Linked DNA regions of Macaca mulatta. The protein of the gene in region 2 purifies or fractionates together with the protein of the main gene of each other region. This does not show direct contact. Links are inferred from orthologs where the notes say so. Each region holds a gene or a part of one and is shown on either strand. Other genes may lie near its edges.

What was found.
Region 1: the proteins of EXOSC5 (region 2) and C1D purify together in Homo sapiens (affinity purification with mass spectrometry; 4 studies listed by BioGRID and IntAct, counting the BioPlex papers as one, with this or other methods). This does not show direct contact. The link is inferred for Macaca mulatta from reciprocal best matches to the Homo sapiens genes EXOSC5 and C1D.

Annotation. Positions count from the first base shown.
Region 1 is NC_133418.1:56,664,007-56,671,550, reverse strand, and holds the start of C1D (nuclear nucleic acid-binding protein C1D), read right to left. Parts: upstream 4,213-7,544; 5' UTR 4,161-4,212; intron 1-4,160. UniProt on the Homo sapiens protein: Plays a role in the recruitment of the RNA exosome complex to pre-rRNA to mediate the 3'-5' end processing of the 5.8S rRNA; this function may include MPHOSPH6.
Region 2 is NC_133424.1:52,539,646-52,547,248, forward strand, and holds the start of EXOSC5 (exosome complex component RRP46), read right to left. Parts: upstream 4,317-7,603; 5' UTR 4,252-4,316; coding exon 4,104-4,251; intron 1-4,103. Other genes in the region: BCKDHA (2-oxoisovalerate dehydrogenase subunit alpha, mitochondrial), read left to right, coding at 4,749-4,856. UniProt on the Homo sapiens protein: Non-catalytic component of the RNA exosome complex which has 3'->5' exoribonuclease activity and participates in a multitude of cellular RNA processing and degradation events.

The DNA of each region.
Region 1 (7,544 bases), on a different chromosome or scaffold from region 2:
CAACTTCCTTAGCAATGTTCAGTAGGCCTGGAGCTACTGAACATGGGGCATTAGCAAATGGCCACAGAGGAAAGAGGACTGGCAAAAGCATCTTTAAAACAGCTAACTGGGAGATGTGACCATGAAGGAAGGGAACTGAGGTGCTATCATAGCCCTTTCCCTCTACTTGGAATACCCGTGTTCCTCCGTTTTGCATTGCTATGCAGGAATACCTGAGGTTGGGTAATTTAATAACGAAAAGAGGTTAGATTTGGCTCCCAGTTCTGCAGGCTACACAACAAGCACGGTACCAGCATCTGCTTTTGGTGAGATAAAGGGGGAGCAGACATGTGACATGGCGGGAGAAGCGGCAAGAGACAGAAGAGGAGCTTCCATGCTCTTTTAAACAACCAGCACTAGGAGTGAACTAACAGAGTGAGAACTCAACTCATTACCTCAAGGACAAAACCAAGACATTGTCTGCCTCCATGACCCAAATATCTCCCACCGGGCCTACCTCCAACACTGGAAGTCACATTTCAACAAGAGATCTGGAGGAGACACACACCCAAATCATATCAACCTCCTCTTCATAACTGTCTCCATTTTCTTGGCCTATCAATCCTTTAAAACCCACATCAAATGCTCCCTCCTCTATAAAGGTGTCCATACCTCCCAAACAAAGGTAGTCTCTTCTTCCTCTTTGCTCCCAAGTTTCTCTGAATATAACTGTAATACAGTTATCACACTGCTGTGCAACTATATGCTTGACTTAACGTAATGACATATCTATCAATAACACTCCTCAAGTTCTTGATAAATCCAAAGGTGTCAATCCTCACTTCACCCGATCCATCAGCTGCACTACTCTACTCTAAATTCCACAACACCAGACTCAAAATTGTCCTTGTCCCTCACTGGCTGCTCAGGCTGTCTCATTTGGTGGTTATTCCTCATTTTCCTAACTTGTTAATGTTAAAATGCCTAAGGACTCAGGCCTTGTGCCCCTTCTCTTTTCTGCCTACATTTACTCTTTTAACGACTGTCTCTGGTCTCACAACTTTAAATACCATCTGTTCACTGACAACTCTCAAATGTCTGTTTCCAGCAATGACCACTCTGAAGTCCGGAATGAACATACTTAACTGCCTACTCAACATCTCCGCTTAGATGACTAACAGACATTACAAACTTATCACCTCCTTAACTGAACTCCGAATCTTCCCACAAACCTGCCCCTCCCACAGTTTTCTATTTCTCAGTTAACGGCAATTTCATTCTTCTAGTTGCTCAAGCCCCAAACTTTGACAATAACCTTATTCTTACAATTCACTTTCAATCTGTAAGCAATTCTATTGGCTTTTCCTAGAAAATACATCTAAAATTAAACTGCTTCTCCATCTTCACTTCTTTCCAATTAAGATGTTATCATCTCATCTGAACTACAACACCTCCATGATTAGTCTCATGGTTTTCACCTACCCCACCCCACAACAAACTATTCTTAACACAGAAGCCACAGAAGATTCTATTAAAACCTAAGTCAGGCCAGGCGCAGTGGCTGACGCCTGTAATCCCAGCACTTTGGGAGGCCAAGACAGGCAGATCACCTGAGGTCAGAAGTTTAAGACCAGCCTGGCCAACATGGTGAAACCCCATTTCTACTAAAAATACAAAAAAAATTAGCCGGGCGTGGTGACACGTGCCTGTAATCCCAGCTACTTAGGAGGCTGAGGCAGGAGAATCGTTGGAACCCAGGAGGCGGAGGTTGCAGTGAGCTGAGATTGCACCACTGCACTCCAGCCTGGGCAACAGAGCCAGACTCCGAAAGAAAAGAAGTGGGGGGGGTGAGGTGGGGTGGGGCGGGGCGGGGCAGGGCAGGGCAGGAAAGGAAACAAAAGAAAACAAAAGAACAGACAATAAAGTAAAGTAAAACAAAATAAAACATAAAGTAAAATAAAATAAACCTAAGTCAGATCATGTCACTCCTCTGCTCTTACCTTTCCATTGGTTATTTACTCACTGGGCTATTCCTCAAGGTAAGATTCATGTCGAGGTACATTTTGAACACATCACTAACATAATGTCTTGTCATGTATTAGGTATTTAGCAACTATTTGTTAACTAACTAAAACCAACCAAAGTAACCTAAGACCTAATTTTGGAAACTCTTAATATCAGATTACAGTTTGAGCTTACAGATAATAGAAAGTCACCACATGGATCCAAACAAACATATGATCATGTACGTTCTGGGGCTCTTCCCATCTCTACACCAAATAATTATACACAGTTATGAACTAAGCTTGAGAATAAATCCAACATGATTGTGTTTTGGAACTTGAGAGCCACTTGCTGTTGCTGCACCAGAATTCTATCACTCGTAATGAATTACTGGAATGGCTTTTTTGCACTGCATTATCTCAGGAGAAAATAACAATGAAATGTACACACAAGTTCTCAATAAATATTGCTGTCTTGGGCAAACAGTGACTCCATGTTAGTATTGTCTGTGACTCTCCTTCAGTCTCACAGTACAATTCCTGAGTACATACAGACTTCTTCCTTTTCTAAAAAAGATATTAACATCTAAAAATAAATGTATCCAGAAGTCTAATAATAGAGGAGTATATAAATTATGAGGATATTGCTCAAGATTGAGATGAATAACTACATTAGATTAAATTTACTTCTATTCAGTGTTTAATTCAAAGCATTTCCAAAATTACAGCGATCAAGCAGCAAAATTACCTTCCAAAACATATGGAAGTGGCTTATTACAATCACCTCATTTCTTAAATAACAGTATATGGGGTTGCTGCATAGATTAAATAAATAATATAGATAAAAGCCATCAGAACAGGGCCTGGCTCAGCCCTCAATACATTAGATAGTATTTTACCAAAAGTGAAAGTTATCAAATACTCTAATCCATTGTGGACTATGTAGAGCTATGCTTGAAGGGTCAACTGTTTGGAAACAGTAGCTGAGATAATACATATGAAGAGCCATTTGAAAAGGTAAAAGCAGTTAAGAAAAAAAATTGCATTACTTCTGAACTGTGATACATACAACACAGCTAACTGAAGGCAGCTGTAGTATCTTTTGACTGAGAATTTTGTTTTATTTTGAAAAACCATTATTCACACTTATCATTATCTTTCAACAAAACAATGAGTTCTATCATTTCCACTAAACGCAAATACTTCTCTGTACTTCGACAGGGCTAATCTGTTAATTTTGAATCAAAAATACAGGGTTAAATAACTAAAAGTATAATTGGATTGTTTGTAACACAAAGGGTAAGTGCCTGAAGGGATGGATGCCCCATTTTCCATGTGATTATTACACATTGCCTGCCTGTATCAAAACATCTCGTGTACCCCATAAATATATACACCTACTATGTAACCACAAAAATTTTAAATTTAATTTTTTTAAAAATCACGGTTAAGTCTTGGTTCTGTCTACCATCAGACAGTACCAATGGGTTAATAAGTGGATAGCAGACATCTCATTGCGACAAATAAGTCTGTATCAAGCCAAAACTGAATTGTATTCAGCAAACATGAAGACATTAAAGGTATTTTCAAGCAAGTTTTAGTTACACTGAACTTTCCCGGGTCATCAAGAAAAACTGCTCTCTTGGATTACCCACCACAGATTTCAGCTAAAGGTCGAAATTAGCCCACTATCTCAGACGGGCTAATACTGCAGCGGCAGGCAGTCTGTGAATGTGAATGATAAACGGAGCTAACACAGTAAAGTGACTCCCCTAGACGTCCCACTTTAGCCTCTCTCCTTACGCAAGATTTGAAGACAGCTGAAAATTGTGAAGTCATGTTTTTTTTGTTGTTGTTGTTTTTAATTTTTTCGTCTTCCAAGAGTTGAGAAGGGGGTGGTTAACAAACGAAGAAAAAGAGAAAGACCGGAGCAAGAGAGAGAAATGAGGGGCCGGGGTAAGCCAAAGCCTGCAAGCAGCCCCAAAACAAGCGGAAGTGGGGGACCTGCAGCAATGCTGCCCCAGCGAAGAGCTGTGAGACACTGCATTCCTGGAAGGCTATGCAGCCAAACTCCGATTCTCTCAGTCTGCCCAGAGGATTACAGGGGAATCCCAGGAGAGGAAAAGCGGAGTTAAACAGGAGGAGGAGAAAAACTGAAAGTACAACTTTGAAAAATACCTCAGGGCCTTCGACTACAGTCTCCGGAAAGCGGTCGGGCAACGATGACGACAATGACGCGCCGGCTGTGCCCGCGCCGAGGGGCGCTTTCCGATTATCTCACGCTGCTCGCCACGCCCCCGCTCCTTCGCTCTTCTCTAAAGGCAAATCTCGAAATGAGTAGCTCGGGGCCATGTTGTGGGAGAGGATTGCGGCGGCACTCTGGGAACCTTTGTCTACATTTGTACCCGGCCAACACTCAGCCCAAATACAGGTTGAGTGTATTTAACCAGGAAAGAAATCTTAGTTACTGAAACTTTGTATTTTTACTTTCCCGGGAGCTTTTCCAGGGCCCTCACTGTTACTACGCTTTTATTGTCTGCCTCAAGATCAGCGTCTTAGAGCAGCTTCCCAGATTATCCGTGGGGAAGAATGGGTTGTTTTTCCAATCTGTCAGTAAAAGATACTTCTATAATACAGTAAAAATGAATTAGTAGAAAAATGGGGAAAATATGTGCAAAATACAAGCCCAAATTTTTTATTATTAGTTTCAGTAAATGTAAAATTGCATTTCAACGTATGCAATCAGAAGAAACATAATAGAAAATAAAGGCATTAACAGAAACTGTACATATTGTTCGTTGAAAGTTTAGTATAAGCGATTGAGCATTGTCTTAACATTTGTAACTTGTCATTCCATGATCATAATTTGATAAAAATTTATGCCTGAGTTGTCCATATATTAAATGCATGTAAAAGCATTTTGAACAAGCACCATGTATGTAATATTTAAAGTTTGGGGGAGGTCACAAGATGGCCGAATAGGAACAGCTCCAATCTGCAGCTCCCAGTGTGAGTGAGGCAGAAGACAGGTGATTTCTGCATTTCCAACTGAGGTACCAAGTTCATCTCACTAGGGCTTCTCAGACAGTGGGTGGAGCCCACAGAGCAGGGCGGGGCATGACCTCACCTGGGAAGCACAAGGGGTCCGGGAATTCCCTTTCCTGGCAAAGGGAAACCGTGATAGACCATAACTGGAAAATCAGTACACTCCCACCCTAATACTGCATTTTTCCAGCGGTCTTAGCAAACGGCACACCAGGAGATTATATCCCGTGCCAGGATCGGAGGGTCCCACACCCACAGAGCCTTGCTCACTGCTAGCACAGCAGTCTGAGATCGAACTGCAAGGCAGCAGCGAGGCTCAGGGAGGGACATCTGCCATTACTGTGGCTTGAGTAGGTAAACAAAGTGGCTGGGAAGCTGGAACTGGGTGGAGCCCACCGCAGCTCAAGGAAGCCTGCCTGCCTCTGTAGACTCCACCTCTGGGGGTGGGGCATAACTGAAAAAAAGACAGCAGAAACTTCTGCAGACTTAAACGTCCCTATCTGACAGCTTTGAAGAGAGTACTGCTTCTCCCAGCGCGGAGTTTGAGATCTGAGAACGGACAGACTGCCTCCTCAAGTGGGTCCCTGACCCCTGAGTAGCCTAACTGGAGACACCTCTCTGTAGGGGCCAACTAACAATTCATACAGGTGGGTGCCCCTCTGAGATGAAGCTTCCAGGGGAAGGATCAGGCAGCAACATTTGCTGTTCTGCAGCCTCTGCTGGTGATTCCCAGGTAAACAAGGTCTGGAGTGGACCTCCAGCAAACTCCAGCAGACCTGCAGCTGAGGGTCCTGGCTGTTAGAAGGAAAACTAACAAACAGGAAGGACATCCACACCAAAACCCCATCTGTATGTCACCATCATCAAAGACCAAAGGTAGATAAAACCACAAAGATGGGGAGAAATCAGAGCAGAAAAGCTGAAAATTCTAAAAATCAGAGTGTCTCTTCTCCTCCAAAGGAACACAGCTCCTCGCCAGCAATGGAACAAAGCTGGATGGCGAATGACTTTGAAAAGTTGAGAGAAGAAGGCTTCAGATGATCAGTAGTAACAAACTTCTCCGAGCTAAAGGAGGATGTTCAAACCCATCGCAAAGAGCTAAAAACCTGAAGAAAGATTAAACGAATGACTAACTAGAAAAAACAGTGTAGAGAAGTCCTTAAATGACCTGATGGAGCTGAAAACCATGGCACAAGAACTATGTGACACATGCACAAGCTTCAGTAGCCGATTTGATCAAGTGGAAGAAACAGTATCAGTGATTGAAGATCAAATGAATGAAATGAAATGAGAAGTTTAGAGAAAAAAGAATAAAAAGAAATGAACAAAGCCTCCAAGAAATATGGGACTATGTGAAACGACCAAATCTACATCTGATTTGTGTACCTGAAAGTGACGGGGAGAATGGAACCAAGTTGGAAAACACTCTTCAGGACATTATTCAGGAGAACTTCCCCAATCTAGCAAAGCTGGCCAGCATGCAAATTCAGGAAATACAGAGAACACCACAAAGATACTCCTTGAGAAGAGCAACTCCAAGACACATCACTATCAGATTCACCGAAGTTGAAATGAAGGAAAAAATGTTAAGGGCAGCCAGAGAGAAAGGTTGGGTTACCCACAAAGGGAAGCCCATCAGACTAATAGCAGATCTCTCGGCAGAAACTCTACAAACCAGAAGAGAGTGGGGGCCAATATTCAACATTCTTAAAGAAAAGAATTTTCAACCCAGAATATCATATCCACCCAAACTAAGCTTCATAAAGGAAGGAGAAATAAAATCCTTTACAAACAAACAAATGCTGAGAGATTTTGTCACCGCCAGGCCTGCCTTACAAGAGCTCCTGAAGGAAGCACTAAACACAGAAAGGAACAACTGGAACCAGCCACTGCAAAAACATGCCAAATTGTAAAGACCATCAATGCTAGGAAGAAACTGCATCAACTAACAAGCAGAATAACCAGCTAACATCATAATGACAAGATTAAGTTCACACATAACAATATTAGCCTTAAATGTAAACGGGCTAAATGCTCCAATTAAAAGACACAGACTGGCAGTTTGGATAAAGAGTCAGGACCCATCAGGTGCGGTATTCAGGAGACCCATCTCATGTGCAGAGACACACATAGGCTCAAAATAAAGGGATGGAGGAAGATCTACCAAGCAAATGGAAAACAAAAAAAAAGCAGGGGTTGCAATCCTAATCTCTGATAAAACAGACTTTAAACCAACAAAGATCAAAAGAGACAAAGAAGGCCACTACATAATGGTAAATAGATCAGTTCAAATAGAAGAGCTAACTATCCTAAATATATAGGCACCCAATACAGGAGCACCCAGATTCATAAAGCAAGTCCTTAGAGACCTATAAAGAGACTTAGACTCCCACACAATAATACTGGGAAACTTTAACACCCCACTGTCAATATTAGACAGGTCAATGAGACAGAAAGTTAACAAGGATATCCAGGAATTGAACTCAGCTCTGCACCAAGCAGACCTAATAGACATCT
Region 2 (7,603 bases):
GATTCTTTGAGTACTCACTTCATTTCTCTGCCTGCGTATCCTCATTTGTAATATGGGGAAAATAGCAGTCGCTCCCCGCTAGCGTCTTGTGAGGATCAAAGGACACAATTCAAAGAGAACACTTAGAACACTGCGGGGCTCATGCTGAGTGCGCAACAGACTTTAGCTGATATTATTAACATTCATCCATTCATCCATTCAGGCATTCAGGCAGGGTCTCACTCTCATTGCCCAGGCTGGAGTGCAGTGGTGCCATCACAGCTCATTGCAGCCTCAACCTTCTGGGCTCAAGCGATCCTCCTGCCTCAGCCTCTCAAGTAGCTGGAACTCCAGGCACGTGCCACCATGCCTGGGTAATTTTTGTATTTTTAGTGAAGAGGGGATTTTGCCATGTTGCTCAGGCAGGTTGCGAACTCCTGGGCAACTGTAATCCCAAGGTGCTAGGATTACAGGTGTGAGCCACCATGCCTAGCCCTGATATTAGTAACTTTCTTTTTTTTTGAGATGGAGTCTCGCTCTGTTGCTCAGGCTGGAGTGCAGTGGCGTGATCTCGGCTCACTGCAACCTCTGCCTCCCGGGTTCAAGCAGTTCTCCTGCCTCAGCCTACTGAGTAGCTGGGATTACAGGTTCAAGTCACCATGCCCAGTTAATTTTTTTATTTTTAGCAGAGACTGGGTTTCACCATGTTGGTTAGGCTGGTCTCGAACTCCTGACCTCATGATCTGCCCGCCTCGGCCTCCCAAAGTGCTGGGATTACAGACATGAGCCACCATGCCCGGCCACTATTAGTAACTTTTAACAGGAAGTTCTTCCTGAAAGCTAACCATCCTCCCTCTTACTGTCACTGCTCTCAACTTCTCTTTGCAAAGGTTCCCCAGCCCAGCTCTTCCCTTAGGCACTGGTCCCCAAATTCTGCACCAGTCCAGTCTGGACACCTGAGAAAGGAATAATATCTGGAATGAATCCTGATTCCTGCTTATTTCCCCAGAAGCTATAAATGGGGTACAGGAGGTAAGACCGAAGAAATAAATAGCCTGGCTTCTAGTACTGTCTGCTGTAATCCCAGCACTTTGGGAGGCTGAGGTGGGTGGATCACCTGCGGTCAGGAGTTTGAGACCATCCTGGCCAACATGGTGAAACCCCATCTCTACTAAAAATACAAAAATTGGCTGGGCATGGTGGTGGGTGCCTGTAATCTCAGCTACTCGGGAGGCCGAGGCAGAATTGCTGGAACCGGGGAGGCGGAGGTTGCAGTGAGCCGAGATGGCACCATTCCACTCCAGCCTGGACAATAACAGCGAGACTCCGTCTCAAAAAAAAAAAAAAAAAAAAAAAAAAACCCAAAACATTTGAGGCCAGACATGGTGCCTCACACCTGTAATCCCAGCACTCTGGAGGCCCAGGTGGGAGGACTGCTCGAGGCCAGGAGTTTGAGACCTGCCTGAGCAACATAGCAAGACTCCTGTCTCTATTTTCTTTTTTGAGACAAAGTTTCCCTCTGTCACCCAGGAGGCTGGAGTGCAGTTGTGCAATCTCAGCTCACTGCAACCTCCGCCTCCCAGGCTCAAGTGATTCTCGTGCCTCAGCCTCCAGAGTAGCTGAGATTATAGGTGCGTGCCACCTTGTCCGACTAATTTTTGTATTTTTAGTAGAGACGGGTTTTCACCATGTTGGCCAGGCTGGTCTCAGAACTCCTGACCTCGACTGGGCGAGGTGGCTCACGCCTGTAATCCCAGCAATTTGGGAGGCCGAGGCGGGTGGATCACGAGGTCAGGAGTTCAAGATCAGTCTGGCCAACATGGTGAAACCCCGTCTCTACTAAAAACTACAAAAATTAGCTGGGCGTGGGAGCACACGCCTGTGGTCCTGGCTACTCGGGAGGCTGAGGCAGAAGAATCGCTGGAACCTGGGAGGTGGAGGTTGCAGTGAGCCACGATCGCTTCACTGCACTCTAGCCTGGGTGACAGGGCGAGACTCTGTGTCAAAAAAAAAAAAAGAATTACTGACCTCAGGTGATCTACCCTCATCGGCCTCCCAAGGTGCTTGGATTACCGGTGTGAGCAACCCATGTGAGCAACTGCGCCCGGCCCCTTCTTAATTCTTAGGTTCGAAGAAACTTGAGGTATCTCAATTCAGCATAAGTGCTAAGCCTGAGGGAGGGTCCGGGAAGGTCCCTGGTTAAGGCGGTATTTCCTGGGATGCCCAATTTGCCCTTACACGGAAGGTGTGCTTAGTTCCAGGAAAAACTGCCCTGAGGACTGGAGAAACCAAAATAGAACTCGCCTCTGGCTCCAGATGAACTGCCTGTGTTTCGCCTGAGCACAAGAGTCCCTCCCCTCTCACCTTCTTCAAGACGTGGCTCCAGCAATTCTCTCCCCTGTTGACCCCACAACCATCTTCAATTCCTGCCCCACTTATCTGATCCTCTTACAGCAAAACTCCTGAACAGCTGTCTATTCTTCCTTTCCTGTGACCCCACCACTCCACTGCGGCAGCTCAACATCGTCACCACTGACCTCCAAATGATCAACCCTCCATTGACCCGGCTGTCAGTAAGGCCGAAACAGCTGTCAGCCCTCACATCTCAGACACGCTCTTCTCTTGGCCCCAGGTCACCACCCTCTCCCGGTTTCCCCCTAAGTCTCTGGGCGTTCCTTCTGAGTCTCCTTTAGCTTGCTTGTCACAAGTCCCTGACTGCTCAAGTTGGAAGGCCTAGGGCTTGGTCCTGGGACCTCTTTTCCATCTACACTGACTTCGTTCAGTCAATAGGCTGAAATACCATATATACAGCCAGAGAGTTCCAAATTGCCTATGTCCAGCTTGGGTCTCTCTCCTGATTTCCAGACTTGTACAGATCTGGGCAGAAACCTTAGTTATGCCTGACTCTTTTTCCTCGCACTCAAACCAAACTATAGGTAAGTTTTGTCCGTTTTACTTTCAAACTACATCCAGAATCTCATCACCTCCACTACTCCTGTTCTGGCTGGAGCCACCATCACCTCCCTGTTTTCCCCCATACTCCCCACAATCAACACAGCAGCCAGATTTTGTTAAAATGTATTGGGGCTGGGCGTGGTGGCTGGTACCTATATGAGCACTTTGGGAGGAGGACTGCTTGAGTCCAGGAGTTCAAGACCAACCTGGGCAACATCGTGAGACCCTGTCTCAAAATTTTTTTTTTTTTTTTGAGACATTATCTTGTTTTGTCGTGCACACTGGAGTACAATGGCACAATCTTGGCTCACTGCAACTTCTGCCTCCTGGGTTCAAGAGATTCTCCTGCCTCAGCCTCCCCAGTAGCTGGGATTACAGGCGCCCACCACCATGCCTGGCTAATTTTTGTACTTTTAGTAGAGTCGGGGTTTCGCCATGTTGGCCAGGCTGGTCTCGAACTCCTGACCTCAGGTGATCCACCCGCCTTGGCCTCCCAAAGTGTGGGGATTACAGGCGTGAGCCACTGTGCCCAGCCTCCTGTCTCAAACGTTAAAGAGAAATATTCTTGGAGTTAATCTGGTTCTGAGAGTTATTTAGCTAGGGGAAGGGGATATTTGCCCTATAGGTAAGACTTGCCCTAATCTTAGGGATATTTACTCCTGTGGAGAGATGCAGTGAGGTAGCGGTGGGGATGTATTTTTCAACCCAGGGCAGTGACATTATCTTCAATTTGAGGAGTATTTACGTGGGTGAAAGATCCGCCACAGTCCAGAGTATGCAAATTGACAGGTTTGCGTCAGTCCGGGATGCAAGGACCTAGCGGGCGTGTGTGTGGGGCGGGCGGGGGCGGGGGTGAGGAGGAGGAACCTAGTTAAGGGCGATATTTACCCTGGTGAGGTGATTTTCCCTATTCTGAAATATCAATTCTTGCGGGGACGGTCTGCCCCGCCTGTCATTCTCAGACATATTTACAAAGATGGAGCTATCTTCTCCTTTCTAGTCGTGAGGGAGAGATGTATGTATCCCTGCGTATGTAGTAGTATTCAATCGGACAAGAAATCATGTATCAACGCAGGAGTGACATTTACCAGCTGGTATCATGGGGAGATGGGCACTCCGTTGCACGGTACATGGTAGTCCCTCTCCAAAAGACCTGGGTAAGTTCTTACCTTGCAGGAAGGAAGCAGAGCCATCTGGCCGCGACAGCAGGTTCTGTTCGCAGGCAAAGTGCCGGAGGCTGCAGCCGGGACCCCGAGGGCTGCACCCTGTTCCAATTTCAGCGCGGATTTTGGCGTCAGTATGCATCTCCTCCTCCATCGCGCCGACCCCACGTGCGGCTGCGATTATCACTTCCGCCCGGCAGCGCGCGCTGCGAACACTCTGCGTAACCATTGCGCACGCGCTGGGCTCGGCCGTCAGTCCTGGCGTCCGCACGTGGCTTAGCGTTTACCAACAATCTGGCTCCGCCCAGTCCCACCTCCTAACTCTGGCAACGCCATTGGACAGTTGAGAACAGGAGGCAGGCCTTGGCAGTGACCTGTTTTACTCTGGGCCCCCGGGCCCTAAATCCCTGAGGCCGTGGTCAGGTTGCCCTCTTCTTTGCCTGTTACAGGAGTAACTACAATGAGGCGACTGGGGAAAATTTTGGGTAGATAGGTTTTCTTCTCCAAATCTCTGTGCATTCTATCTACAACAGAATGGGAAGAAGGTGATTTTCTTGTCAGATGGTGCTGGAGTTTGTGTCAGGCACATAAAGGGGCAGCCCCGAATCTAGCCTACGTGAGTGCCCTACCGCTGAGTGGTTGCTAGCCAAGATGGCGGTAGCGATCGCTGCGGCGAGGGTCTGGCGGCCAAACCGAGGCCTGAGCCAGGCTGCCCTCTTGCTGCTGTGGCGGCCTGGGGCTCGGGGACTGGCTAGATCTGTGAGTACCTGGGCCCCAGGGGGTTTTCCCAAAGGGGATTAGGGATGTAAAGGCTATCTTCAGAGTGTGGGGTCCCTGAAGGATATGAAGGAAGGGCTGTCACAGAAGGGAAAAAGAGTGGGAGACCCCTTGGAGAAGACACCGAAGGGAAGATCTGCCACTTCCTTAGAAGAAAAGAACTTCCACTTCTTCAGGAGAGGACAAAACCCGTTTGCAACTTCTTTGTGGGCCCTGAGGAAGGGAGACGACTTGAAGAGAGGGATGGGAGTTCCTTATTTATTTATTTAGTTAGTTTTTGAGGCGGAGTCTGGAGTGCAGTGGCCGGATCTCAGCTCACTGCAAGCTCTGCCTCCCGGATTCACGCCGTTCTCCTGCCTCAGCCTCCCGAGTAGCTGGGACTACAGGCGCCCGCCGCCACCCCCGGCTAATTTTTTTTTTTTGCATTTTTAGTAGAGACGGGGTTTCACTGTGTTAGCCAGGATGGTCTCGATCTCCTGACCTCGTGATCCGCCCACCTCGGCCTCCCAAAGTGCTGGAATTACAGGCGTGAGCCAGCGCGCCCGGCCGGGGGTTCCTTATTAACTGCCACTCGTATTCAGGGGAGGTTCCTTGGAGGGACAGGGGAAGACCGCGAGACCTTTTCCCTCAGGCTTTGGAGAATGAAACTGACTTTATAAAGGAGAGACTTTCTTCTGGGCAAAGATCCCTCTTCAAGAAGAAGAAAGAAGAGAGCAAGTCCCCTTATCGCAGGCTGCATAGGGCCTTGTATTTCTTTGCTCCTTTGCCACAATTCTGATTTTAAAATGAATTGTGTAAAAATTTTGTTTGGTTCCTGTGTCTCCTGATCGAATATCAAGACAGGGAACTCGTGTGTTCTGGACACTGTACAGAGGAGATGATTAATATTTGTTGAGTTAATGAGGGGAAAAACGGAGGGACAGAGGTACAGATAGGGCACTTTGCCCACATTTCTTAGAAACACTTGAGAAGGCTTTGTTTCTTGTCAAAAGGGTCACAATCCCTTCAGGTGGATGCTGTCAAAATTACACTGCAAAAAACCTGGGTGGAAGCCTCTCTTTAGAGGGGGAGAGGCAAGGGGTTGCAGAAGAGCTTTGAACTACATTTGACAGATAGGAGAGTAGTGGTTACATGGGTGGGTTCATGTCCTTGCTCTGCCACTTTCCACTTGTGTATTGGGCAACGGACTGCACCTCTCTGGATCTATGGACCTAATTTCCCTCTCTAAAATATTAACAGTGGCCACCTCATAGGACTGTGAAAAATTAATATGTAAAATGCTAAGGACTGGACCTGGCACATCATAAGGGCAATAGGAATGTTGGTCATTGTTGATAGTGAGGGTAGAGGGAAAGGACAGAAACTGACGTTGGAGATGGGGAGAAGAAAAGGGTGACCTTGGGAAGGCCTGGACTGGTGAGGCCCTGCGGAAAAAAATCTTAAAAGATCTTGTGAGGTTGAGTCTGATCCTCTGATCCCCAATCCATAAGGAGGAGAAGATGGAATCTGTAGAAAGAAGCTCTGGGTAGGGGGACAAACGGGAGGAGGGTGAAGAGGATGGGCCAGGAGTAGGACGTAGTAGGTATCTAGGAATGGAGTCACTTGAAACAGGTAAATGCAGAAGGGCTGCAGGAGCAAGATGTGGGTAGGGCAGTCTCCTGCCTTTGGGCTGGAGACCTTTTCACTTTTTTTTTTTTGGAGCAGTTCATATCCTCCACCGCTGATCTCAGTCCCAGGAGCCTATTGGCTGGGCAACTGGGGCGGGAAGTGGGCAGGACTGGGGCAGGGTAGGGAAAGGTCATTTAAGGCTGATTAAATCTTTCTCTCCTGTCTCAATCTCCTGATTACCTTTCCTCTTGCTTCCCCTCCTTCATTTGTGGTGAGGAATGGGGAGGGAAGAAGTCCCTACTTTTAATTTTTTAATATATCTTTAAATTTGTATTATCTTAGAGTTATTGTTTTTTCCCCTTTATTTCTCCCACCTGTTCTTTCTCTCTTCTTTCTTTCCTCTCCTTCTCTTCTCCTCTCCTCCTCCCCTCCCCTCTCCTTTTTCTTTTCTTGTCTTGTCTCGTCTTGTCTCTTCTCTTTTGTTGCTCTCTTTCTTTCTGTACCTCTTTCTCTCTTTTCTTTTTCTTTTTTTTTTTTTTTCTTTTTCTTTTCCTTTTTTTTGAGACAGAGTTTCGCTCTCTTGCCCAGGCTGGAGTGCAGTGGTGTAATCTTGGCTTACTGCAACCTCTGCCCACTGGGTTCAAGCAATTCTCCTGCCTCAGCCTCCCTAGTAGCTGGGATTACAGGCGTGCACTATCACGCCTGGCTAATTTTTGTATTTTTGGTAGAGATGGGGTTTCACTATGTTGTCCAGGCTGGTCTCGAACTTCTGGCCTCAAGTGATCCACCTGTCGGCCTTGAAAGTCATGAGCCACTGCACCCAGCCTTTTCTTTCTTTTTTTGAGACAAGGTCTCACTCTGTTGCCTAGGCTGGAGTGAGTGCAGTGGTATGATCATGGCTCACTGCAGCCTCAACCTCCTGGGCTCAAGCAATCCCCCCACCTCAGCCTCCTAAGTAGCTGGGACCACAGGCACATGCTACCATGCCTGGCTGATTTTTAATTTTTTTTTTTTTTTTTTTTTTTGAGATGGAGTCTTGCTCTGTTGCCGAGGCTGGAGTGCATTGGCACAATCTTGGCTCACTGCAACCTCCACCTCCCAGGTTCAAGTGATTCTCCTGC